Drosophila melanogaster: one gene and its partner. The protein of the gene in region 2 interacts with the protein of the main gene of each other region in a pairwise test. Each region holds a gene or a part of one and is shown on either strand. Other genes may lie near its edges. The genes, in order: gNacalpha and Alp6.

Evidence for each region.
Region 1: the proteins of Alp6 (region 2) and gNacalpha interact in a two-hybrid assay, tested with the Drosophila melanogaster proteins (one large-scale study listed by BioGRID).

Annotation. Positions count from the first base shown.
Region 1 is NT_033779.5:1,035,686-1,039,455, forward strand, and holds gNacalpha (germinal nascent polypeptide-associated complex alpha subunit), read left to right. Parts: upstream 1-1,560; 5' UTR 1,561-1,693; coding exon 1,694-2,737; 3' UTR 2,738-2,821; exon of another isoform or gene 2,822-2,848; intron 2,849-2,893; 3' UTR 2,894-3,000; downstream 3,001-3,770.
Region 2 is NT_033778.4:9,559,541-9,564,588, reverse strand, and holds Alp6 (alkaline phosphatase 6), read right to left. Parts: upstream 2,952-5,048; 5' UTR 2,891-2,951; coding exon 2,821-2,890; exon of another isoform or gene 2,341-2,820; coding exon 1,184-2,340; exon of another isoform or gene 1,116-1,183; coding exon 795-1,115; 3' UTR 718-794; downstream 1-717. Other genes in the region: Or45b (odorant receptor 45b), read right to left, coding at 3,521-3,571, 3,628-3,780, 3,831-3,929, 3,987-4,162, 4,222-4,409, 4,468-4,991.

The DNA of each region.
Region 1 (3,770 bases), on a different chromosome or scaffold from region 2:
TTGGGTTCATTTTTCATGCACAGGCCGTGGCAGCAGAAACTAAACTTCGAGGCTAAGACTAAGCCCCAATAAGTTGGATGGGCCCAGATGACACCGCAGCATATGGGGCGGATAATTAATCATGGGACGAACGTGCCAGGACGCCCAAAAACTTTTCACCCTTCTCCGGCTCTCCGGGTCTCCGAGTTCCAAGTCCGCGCAGAACTTAACTTAACCGAGCAACATTGAATCGAATCGACCGAGATGTTAAGATGCGAGGACTCATGGCTGGGCAAAGGGAATATCTGATTAGTTGGCCTCTCGAATTTAATTATGGTGACAGGACAGACTCTGCGGCGGCAGCCGGATGCATCCTCGGTCTCCTGCCCTCCACATCCTCCTAGTCCTCCTCCTGCTGCTTCATTCGCCTCTCCTGAATAATTTGTGCAACTCAATTAGGCGTTGACCCCACGATAAAGTTTAATAATTGCAGGTGGTGGACGCCCTTCTTTCGCTCGAACTTTAATTAAAAGAACCGAGCAATTAAAAACGCATCATCAGACAGAGCGCAGCGGCTTGCAGAAAAAATGCAATACATGCTCCCGATTACCACATACCTGTTATGTAGGAAATAGGAAAGGTCAGAATTCATGAAAATTATGCTAAATGTTATGTTAACTCCATTGGGGATTTGATCCATACGTGCTCATATTCTTATTGTACGGTTGTCTCGAATTGTGATGTAATTTCCGTAACACGAAGAGCGCCCTAATAGGGCGTGGCACTTTTTTAATGCACTTAGCAAGTGTTTTTTCGCCACACGCAGAACGCAAAACAGGATCACACAGCCCCGCCCTGAACCGCCTGATCTGGGAAATTCGGGAGCCGGAAAACCGCAAGGAAAACCGCACGTGTAACCGCGCTTGCTCCACCGCGTCGTGTTTGTGGGGCTGCTCCGCTTTGGAGGCAGACTGCGGTGCGACCACGACAGCAATTAACACGGAGGAACCAGCTTCAGATTCAGGTCTTTGGCATTTTCCGGGCATCCGAGTTTTACGACTTTGCATATTCGAATATTACCCAAATAACCGCTGAACTTTTCATTTCTCCACCACTTTTAAACTGGCTTTGTCAGGTGAAAATTTTCAAGCACGTCACTGCAGTGGATTGATTTGCAATCATCAATTTCGATAGAATTTGCGAGGCGCTGCAGCAAAACTTTTATAACCGCGAAATTAAGTGCACAGTTCGAAGGCAGCTGACATTCTCGTTTGAAAAATACCAACTTTCTTCAGAGCAGCGCTGCTAACGCCTATAATCAGTTCACGATTGCACTGGGACCTATCGATATCGATAGACTTAGGCGTGCTCTGCATGTTCGAATGGCCGAGTGGCCATTTTAAAAACTTATAATCTTTCCGAAAGCAACACTTGATATTGTTTATTTCGCTATTTAGGTGCCATTAGCATAAAAAATTTCCAGTTTTCATTATGAAAAAACTTTTCGATAAGTATACCAAATTTCGCAACAGCACTTATCGAAGAGAGCAACACCAGCTGTCAAGCCACTGGAAGTTTCACCTCTGATATTTCCTGTCAAGTCTTTCCCGCAAGAGGTCACACCACGTGCGCTGCCAATTTGGAAATTTTTTTGGAGAAGTTGTCCTCGCAAATCTGTGATCGCAAATCCCTCAGTTGCTGTTTATTCCTCAAGATGGGTAAGAAGCAGAAAATGAAGAAGGCTGCCCAGATGGCGACCGCTGCCGAGAAATTGAAGACCGCTGCCGAGAAATCGAAGACCGCTGCCGACAACGTGGTGGCCAAAGAAAAGCCTGCCGAAGAAGCCTCTCCCTCACCAAGTGGCAGTGGAAAAAAAGGGAAGCCCAAGGCAACGCAAAAACCAAACGTCGCAAAGGCACTTCAGAAGGAGATCTCCAGTTCGGAAGACGCCTTGGATGTCAAGAATAAACCTCCGGCAGGCTTTAGTGGCGCAAAGGGGAAGCCCCACATCATGGGTCAAATGGACCCGGCCTACCGCAACAAGATCAAGAAGCTGATGAGCCTGGCCAAACAGCTGCCGCCCAATGTGTTCAGTCTGCCGAACTCGCAGAAGGAGGAGGGCGCCTCCGCCGCGAAATCCTGCGTAGTTGAGGATGATCAGAGCACGGACTCCGATGACGCCCCGGATCTCGTGGAAGCGGATCCCAAGGAGACCCAACCGGACGAGCAGGGTCAACTCGGTACGGTGGCCGTGCGAACACGTGAGGTATCAAAGCAGTCTCGCGGCGAGCGGAAGGCACGCCGGATCCTCATGAAGCTGGACCTGAAGCCCATGGAGAACGTGGCCCGAGTGACCATGAAGAAGGGCAAGAACATCCTCTTGTACATCGATCAGCCGGACGTCTACAGAGTGGCGCACTCGTCGACGTACATCTTCTTTGGGGAGATCTGCGTGGAGGACACTAGCACCACGTCCGTCGCCTCCCAGGCAGCTGTCAAGGCGGCCGAGCGATTCCGTGGAACCTCGCCTGCCGGGCGGCAAGGTAACGAGGATGGAAAAGCCCCTGGCGAGGAGTCCCCACACGACGACGACGACGACGAGAACGATGGCGAGGACGCGGATGCCATGGGCCTACATGCGAAGGACATCGAACTGGTACAGATGCAGGCCGCGTGCTCGCGCAAAAAGGCGATCCAGGCGCTGCTGAAGAACGACAACGATGTGGTCAATGCCATCATGGCCCTGACTGTGGGTTAAGTCGCTCTGAGTGGCTCCTTTGTATTCAAAGTCATGAAATAAAGAGAATTTCAATAACATCCATGTTCGCCATAGAAATTAATGGTAATTAAATGATTACAATCAAATCGTAAACTTTCATGTTGTTTTTATTTACTATACTTTCATGTAATCCAGACAATCCTTTCGGACTTCACTTCTCCTGGTGGATGGCTTGTTCTACAAGAATGACAATCTCCGGTGCCAATGTAGCTCGTACTATATTAAATGCCGATCATTTCCTGGTTTTTGAAAATGTTTTCGGTCCCAGCAGAAGAATCCCACTGAAGAACCCCTTTGTACAGCGAAATTGCCATCTTATTTCAATTTTCTAATGAATTGACATTTCCACCATTTCCATCTTGGCACAGTGAAAGCATTTTCCGAAGGGCGAAGAACGCATATGCGAACCCGAACCATTTTCATTATACTCGTATTTGCTCTTCCATCAGCGCTAGACTTTGGCAATTTTCCTTTCAGGTACCGTCATTCTTGGACATTTTCTCTGTGGCGGAAACTTAATCGCTTCTTTCTTTGTGCCGCTGACGCTGCACTCTTGTTTACTCTGCACTTAGTTTTTAGCCATTTGGCGAAGTCCCCCGGCACTCGACTTTGCATTTTTTGCTGGCGAATTTTTGACGACGCCGTGATTGCGTTTCAGCTCTTTCAGGGGATTTCAGGGGTACTCCCAGGTGAGACAGGTGACGTCGCTGCTGGTGACGTGGCTACGCAAGTCCTGCTCCGCGGACATTTGACTCAATTAAATGGCTCGACTACGTTCAACGTCCCTTTTCTGGCCCCAAAAGCCACTTAATGACTAGCTCCGGCTCTAACTGAACTTTTTTTAATTTTCAGCTGTCGTCAGCAGCCGTAAAAAAGGCTTTAGTTTTGCATTGTGGGCGCTCAACAGTCCGTGCGGCTGAGCACGTGCCCGCTTTTTCGCCGGAAAAGTGGAAATGGAAACTTTGTAGGTGGGACGCATTCACCTTCTTCGTTCTGTACACTCATATAGTGC
Region 2 (5,048 bases):
AATCATTCGAACGGGAGTTTCAATGGGAAATTATTTGATAATAGGTTCAAAAGATCAAAATGATGCAAAATGGAGTTTGAGACTCCAGGGTCCCGAAATATCCATATAAAACTGGAACACTATGCATTAACTGAATCCAAAATGAAACATTCTTATAGAGGTGCGATTGAAAATATGGGAAAAATGTTAATTTTAAAGCCTTATCCTTCGGAAAGATATGATAAATTTTTTCCAGGAGGATTTTCAGCGCTGATTTTTGTTACCTTGCTGACGATTCCAACCTGAATCCATTGAATGTATTTCTTTGACAGTCAAAGCCCATTTTAAATAAATCCACTTAGATATTCATAGCCATCTTTAAAGCAGGAAATGCACGGATTGTCGATGGATTCCATTTGAATGTCATATTTTCTGGGATTTATGATGAAACATATAATGGCTGATGGCTGGCCATTCTTTCTGGCCGCGTTTCTCTCTTCATTTGGCCAGAAACCACCTGGTCAATTGGCTCAGCCCCAAAGTGATTGCAGCTGACTGATTGAGGCTGCCTGCAGGTTGTCAGATGCCAGTTGCCATTGCTAGTTAATTGAATTTGCCGTCAGGTGGCATTTATTGGGGGGGCAGCTCCCCTGCTCCACAGGAAATTGCACAGCTTGTCAGTTCAATTAGACGGAATTCGATTTGCCCCATTCCCGGTACAGTTTCCCATGCAAGATTCGTTTAGCAATGATGCATTTTAATTATTCCATCTCAGCGAGAGGAGTTTTACATGCGCCAAGAAAATCAGCCAAATCCTAGGCATAGGGCCCGATACCCGCTGCTCTGGCCATCAGCGCCGGAATATTGCTTTGCTCGTAGTTGCCACTGAAGTACTGGGCATAGGGTCCCGAGGCATACACCGCCACATCATCTCCTCCGTGGGTTTCTGCGTCCAAGGGCGCCAGCGTGGGATACTGATAGTCTGAGTCCGCAACCAACTTCTCCTTTAGAAGGGCACGTCCCTCAGCGCGATTGTAGCCGGAGTAGTAGCCAGGTCCATTGGCATAGGACAAAATCGTATAGGGCAGATTATCATCCGCCAGTTGAGCCAATCCGGTGATCTCCTGGTCACGATACTGCCGGAATTCAGAAATCATAAGTCAAATACCTATCGCTGTTAGAAAGGAAACTTTCAAGTACTCACAGGATAACCATTGATGGACATAACATGAGCATGATCAGCGGTCACCACGATCAGTGTGTCATCCTCGGAGGTAAGTTCGCGAGCCTTCTGGACAGCCCTCGCAAACTCGGCGGTATCCTCGAGGGATCTCTTGGCGAAGGTATCGTGGTGGGCCATGTCGATACGAGCACCCTCGACGAAGAGAAAGAATCCCTTGTCATTGCGGCTCAACACCGTGATGGCAGCCTCCGTGAGCTCACTCAGCGAAGGATCCGCCAACTGACTACGTTTCCTGTCCCGATCACCGTTGTACGGCAGATGATCATTGGCAAAGAGACCCAATAGGTAGTCCGTATTCTCGAGATCCACCAGACTGAGTCCCTTGCGACTCCACACGTATTTGGCTGAGACATTGGCCTCCTTCTTCTGATCCAACCAACTGCGGATTAAGTGACGACCGTCGGTACGCTTGCCGGGATAACCCTCCTCATCATTTACCGTTGCGTCGATGAAGTTCTTGCGACCGCCTCCAAGGATTACCTTCAGCTGCTGACCCACAGGCTGCTCCACGAGCTGACGGGCAATATCGATGGTCTGCTCGGGATCGCACTCCCTGTTGGCCACCTCCCAGTCGTTCTCCCAATTGCGATCCGCGATGTGGGCATAAACACCAGCTGGGGATGCATGAGTTACCCGGGCTGTAGTCACCAGACCTGCATCCTTGCCAGCCGCCTGTGCCCAATGCGCGATGCTGAGCACCCGATCCTCCTCGTTGGCGGCGCCATCACAGCTGTACCTGGACACATTGGCGTTAACGCCAATCGTTCCATAGTTCGCCTTCACACCGCCCAAATAGGCGGTGGCCGTGCAAGCAGAATCGGCCACCTGGCGGTTTACGCAGTAGGTCTTGGACAAGCCAGTGTAGGGAAATCCCTCAAAGTACACCTGCTCCGCACTGTCGCCTAGCAGATTCCTGGTGGCCGTGACCGTGTGAACGGACATTCCATCGCCCAGGAACAGAATCACGTTCTTCGCCTTGTTTGTGGTCGCGGACTCCTGCTCGGCCAGCTTCGATAACAGCTTCGCCTGGGCCTTATCCACCCAGTACTGGGTCTGCTGCTCCTCTGCATACTTGATCGGATGCGATTCGGCATCAAAGGAACGCCCACGAGGGTGGTCTGAAAAGAATGGCAAAATAGTTCAATAATTACTATAACAATAAGAGGTTTCCGATAAGCCAATATAACTATTAGCATTGGTCAAAAAATAGAAGGATCATAAATAATTTTGGGTTTGGATTTTCTGTTATATATCAATGGGATTATTTGAGTCTTATCTCCTCTACACATTTTTTTCAAGTAAACTTGGAAGATAAGAAGTTATTTTAAAGAACTTAATCTCAAAGTACCTCGTCCTGCACGCTGAATCTCAAGTCAGCGCCAGTCAAAATAACACATCCTTTGGGAGGACAAACATAAAATCTGACATGTTTTTATACTCGTAGTTATCTAAATAGTTAAGCTGCTTGTAAAATAAATTCCCTGAACTGGCGTACAAAACAAAATAAATTCAAATACCTAAACATTTTCGAACTATTCTAAATAAAAACACTTTTGAGGTATCGCTGAGTTCTAAAATCCAGCTTCAGAGCACCTTACCTCTTTGTCCGCTGGCACTTCCGCTCAGGCAGACAGCTAAGACGAGCAACAGAATGAATCTCCTGGCCATTTTCAGCTAATCCCAGGCGTGGTGTGGAGGTCAGACCTTGGTTAAAGACTAAACCGACTGACCGACCAAGGAACTGGGCGCTGCCTCGGAGCTATCGCTCAGTATCAGAGTAAATCTAATCAAAGGAAACTAATCTAGACGGTTCAATCAAATCATCATTTATGGCTGGCCAAGTTTAAGTTGACAGAAGTCGTAGAACAGACCGAAACCGATGCCAAAACACACTCACGTGCCTTTCTTATGGCTTTGATTCTCTGTCCATTAACCGATTGCGTATACTACGACCTACGTAATCAATCTGAAGCCGGGGCAATCCTGTTTGCCTCAACTTTTAAACATTGCTAACTTATTGCACTCAAATTTATTGAATCATGCCAGTAGCTTTGTTAAACGATGAAGAATAAATGGTTTCACTGCTACTAGAAAACTTTATGGTTCAAACTTTACGGCAAGCCCTTTAATCCCACATTTGAACCCTTGACCCCGGCAATTAATTGACTTCGAGTCTGCACAATTGTATATGTATTGTGTAAATTGCATACTTTTGGGCTAGGCTGCAACCACAAACTAATACAAAATAGTAGCTATTAAATTTAAGTACTTGGTTATTTTTTAATTCAACACTCTTTTTCACAGTATCGTCTTAGCCAGTGCCACAATCGAACCTGTAAACTTGATGACCTAAAAAAGGGTTTCATTAGTGGATTGCACTAAGTGCCATACAGATTATAACCCACCGATGTGAAGACTGGTAACGATGGTGCAAAAAAGGGCACCCTCACCGTAATGGGTCGTTGAGCACGCAGGATAATGAGAAAGACCCGCCTGCGGGTCTCTCGATCCCAAGTATACCAGGCACTGCTGTAGGCTGCTTCTCCCAAGGAAAGGCTCTAGAAATGAAAGAGGTCAAAGGTTAATCAAGAGACTCGACCTGTCCCACCTCAGTTGACATTTCTGTGCCTCCGTAGCAATAGAGGAAGATGGCCGAGGAAACCGTGAAGGTGTACACCACGTAACGGATGATGTTATAGCCGGAATACTATAGAAACTATTGGTTTGAGTTAGTGTGCTTATCACTTAAAAGGACGGCTATTACCAATAGTATATCAATGACGCTGGTGGCTATCACTAAGCTGGCTGATACGAAGTGAACAAAAGTTGGAGCAGCCATAATTCCAGAAAATTCCTTGACTATCTTCTCTATCTCATTGTGGCGATCCACGATGTCCGCCAATCGCTGACAGCAGATTTTGGATTCCCTAAGCGAGGGATCTATTTAGAAAGTATACACCCGAATTTAATGTTAGCCATATGCATAATGGACCATCCACCTCTTATTGGCTTGAGGGCATCCTGGATATCGTATCTTAAGGCCTGCAGCAAGAAGGCCATGTAGAGGGTAAAGCCAAAGAAGAAACCATCTGTACCAGCAAAGGCGTACACAGTGACCTGGCCACTCCATGTGGAGTAGAGATAGAAAACTGGAAACCAGGGCATGCGATGCGCAAAGTCGTGGAACCTGTGGAACATCTAATCAGAACATCTAATCCTCACTGACATGCTACAACATCACACACAGCATGCGAAAGGGCATATCGAATTTGAACTCCTGATGACGACGCACCCACATTTCCCAAAGGGAACGCAGAACGAAGGCTCCAGTGGTAATGCTGCCCAGGGTGAAGACCAGCATACCGCACCTGGTGACCATGAGATAGTAGCTCCTTTGAGCCACCTTTCTCCGGGAGTCCTCCCTCTTCTCCTGCTCCCCGATGAGCAAGCGGATGCGGTCCATTAGATCAGCTACTTCCTGGCGACGCCACCACATCCATCCCAGCTTGAAGAGCGTGGTGAAACTGCAGGCCAGAGGACAAAAGGCGTCCATGGCATCCACGGGACTGGTGCGCAAGTGACTCCAGCCGAAGACGAACTCCGCCTGGCAGCAGTGCGCCAGGTTAACGAAATTGAACACCAGCCACAAGAGGTGAAGCCACGATTGCTCTTTGCCAAATCTCAGGCCCAGCAGGCCAAAGGAGTATCTGGTGACGAAGAACAAATGCTTGGCCAGCGGATAGTTACGGCTGAGGAATCGCGGATACATGATTTTAACCGCTTACAGAACCCTTTCCTTATATAGCGCCCCATTCATACCTCCTAA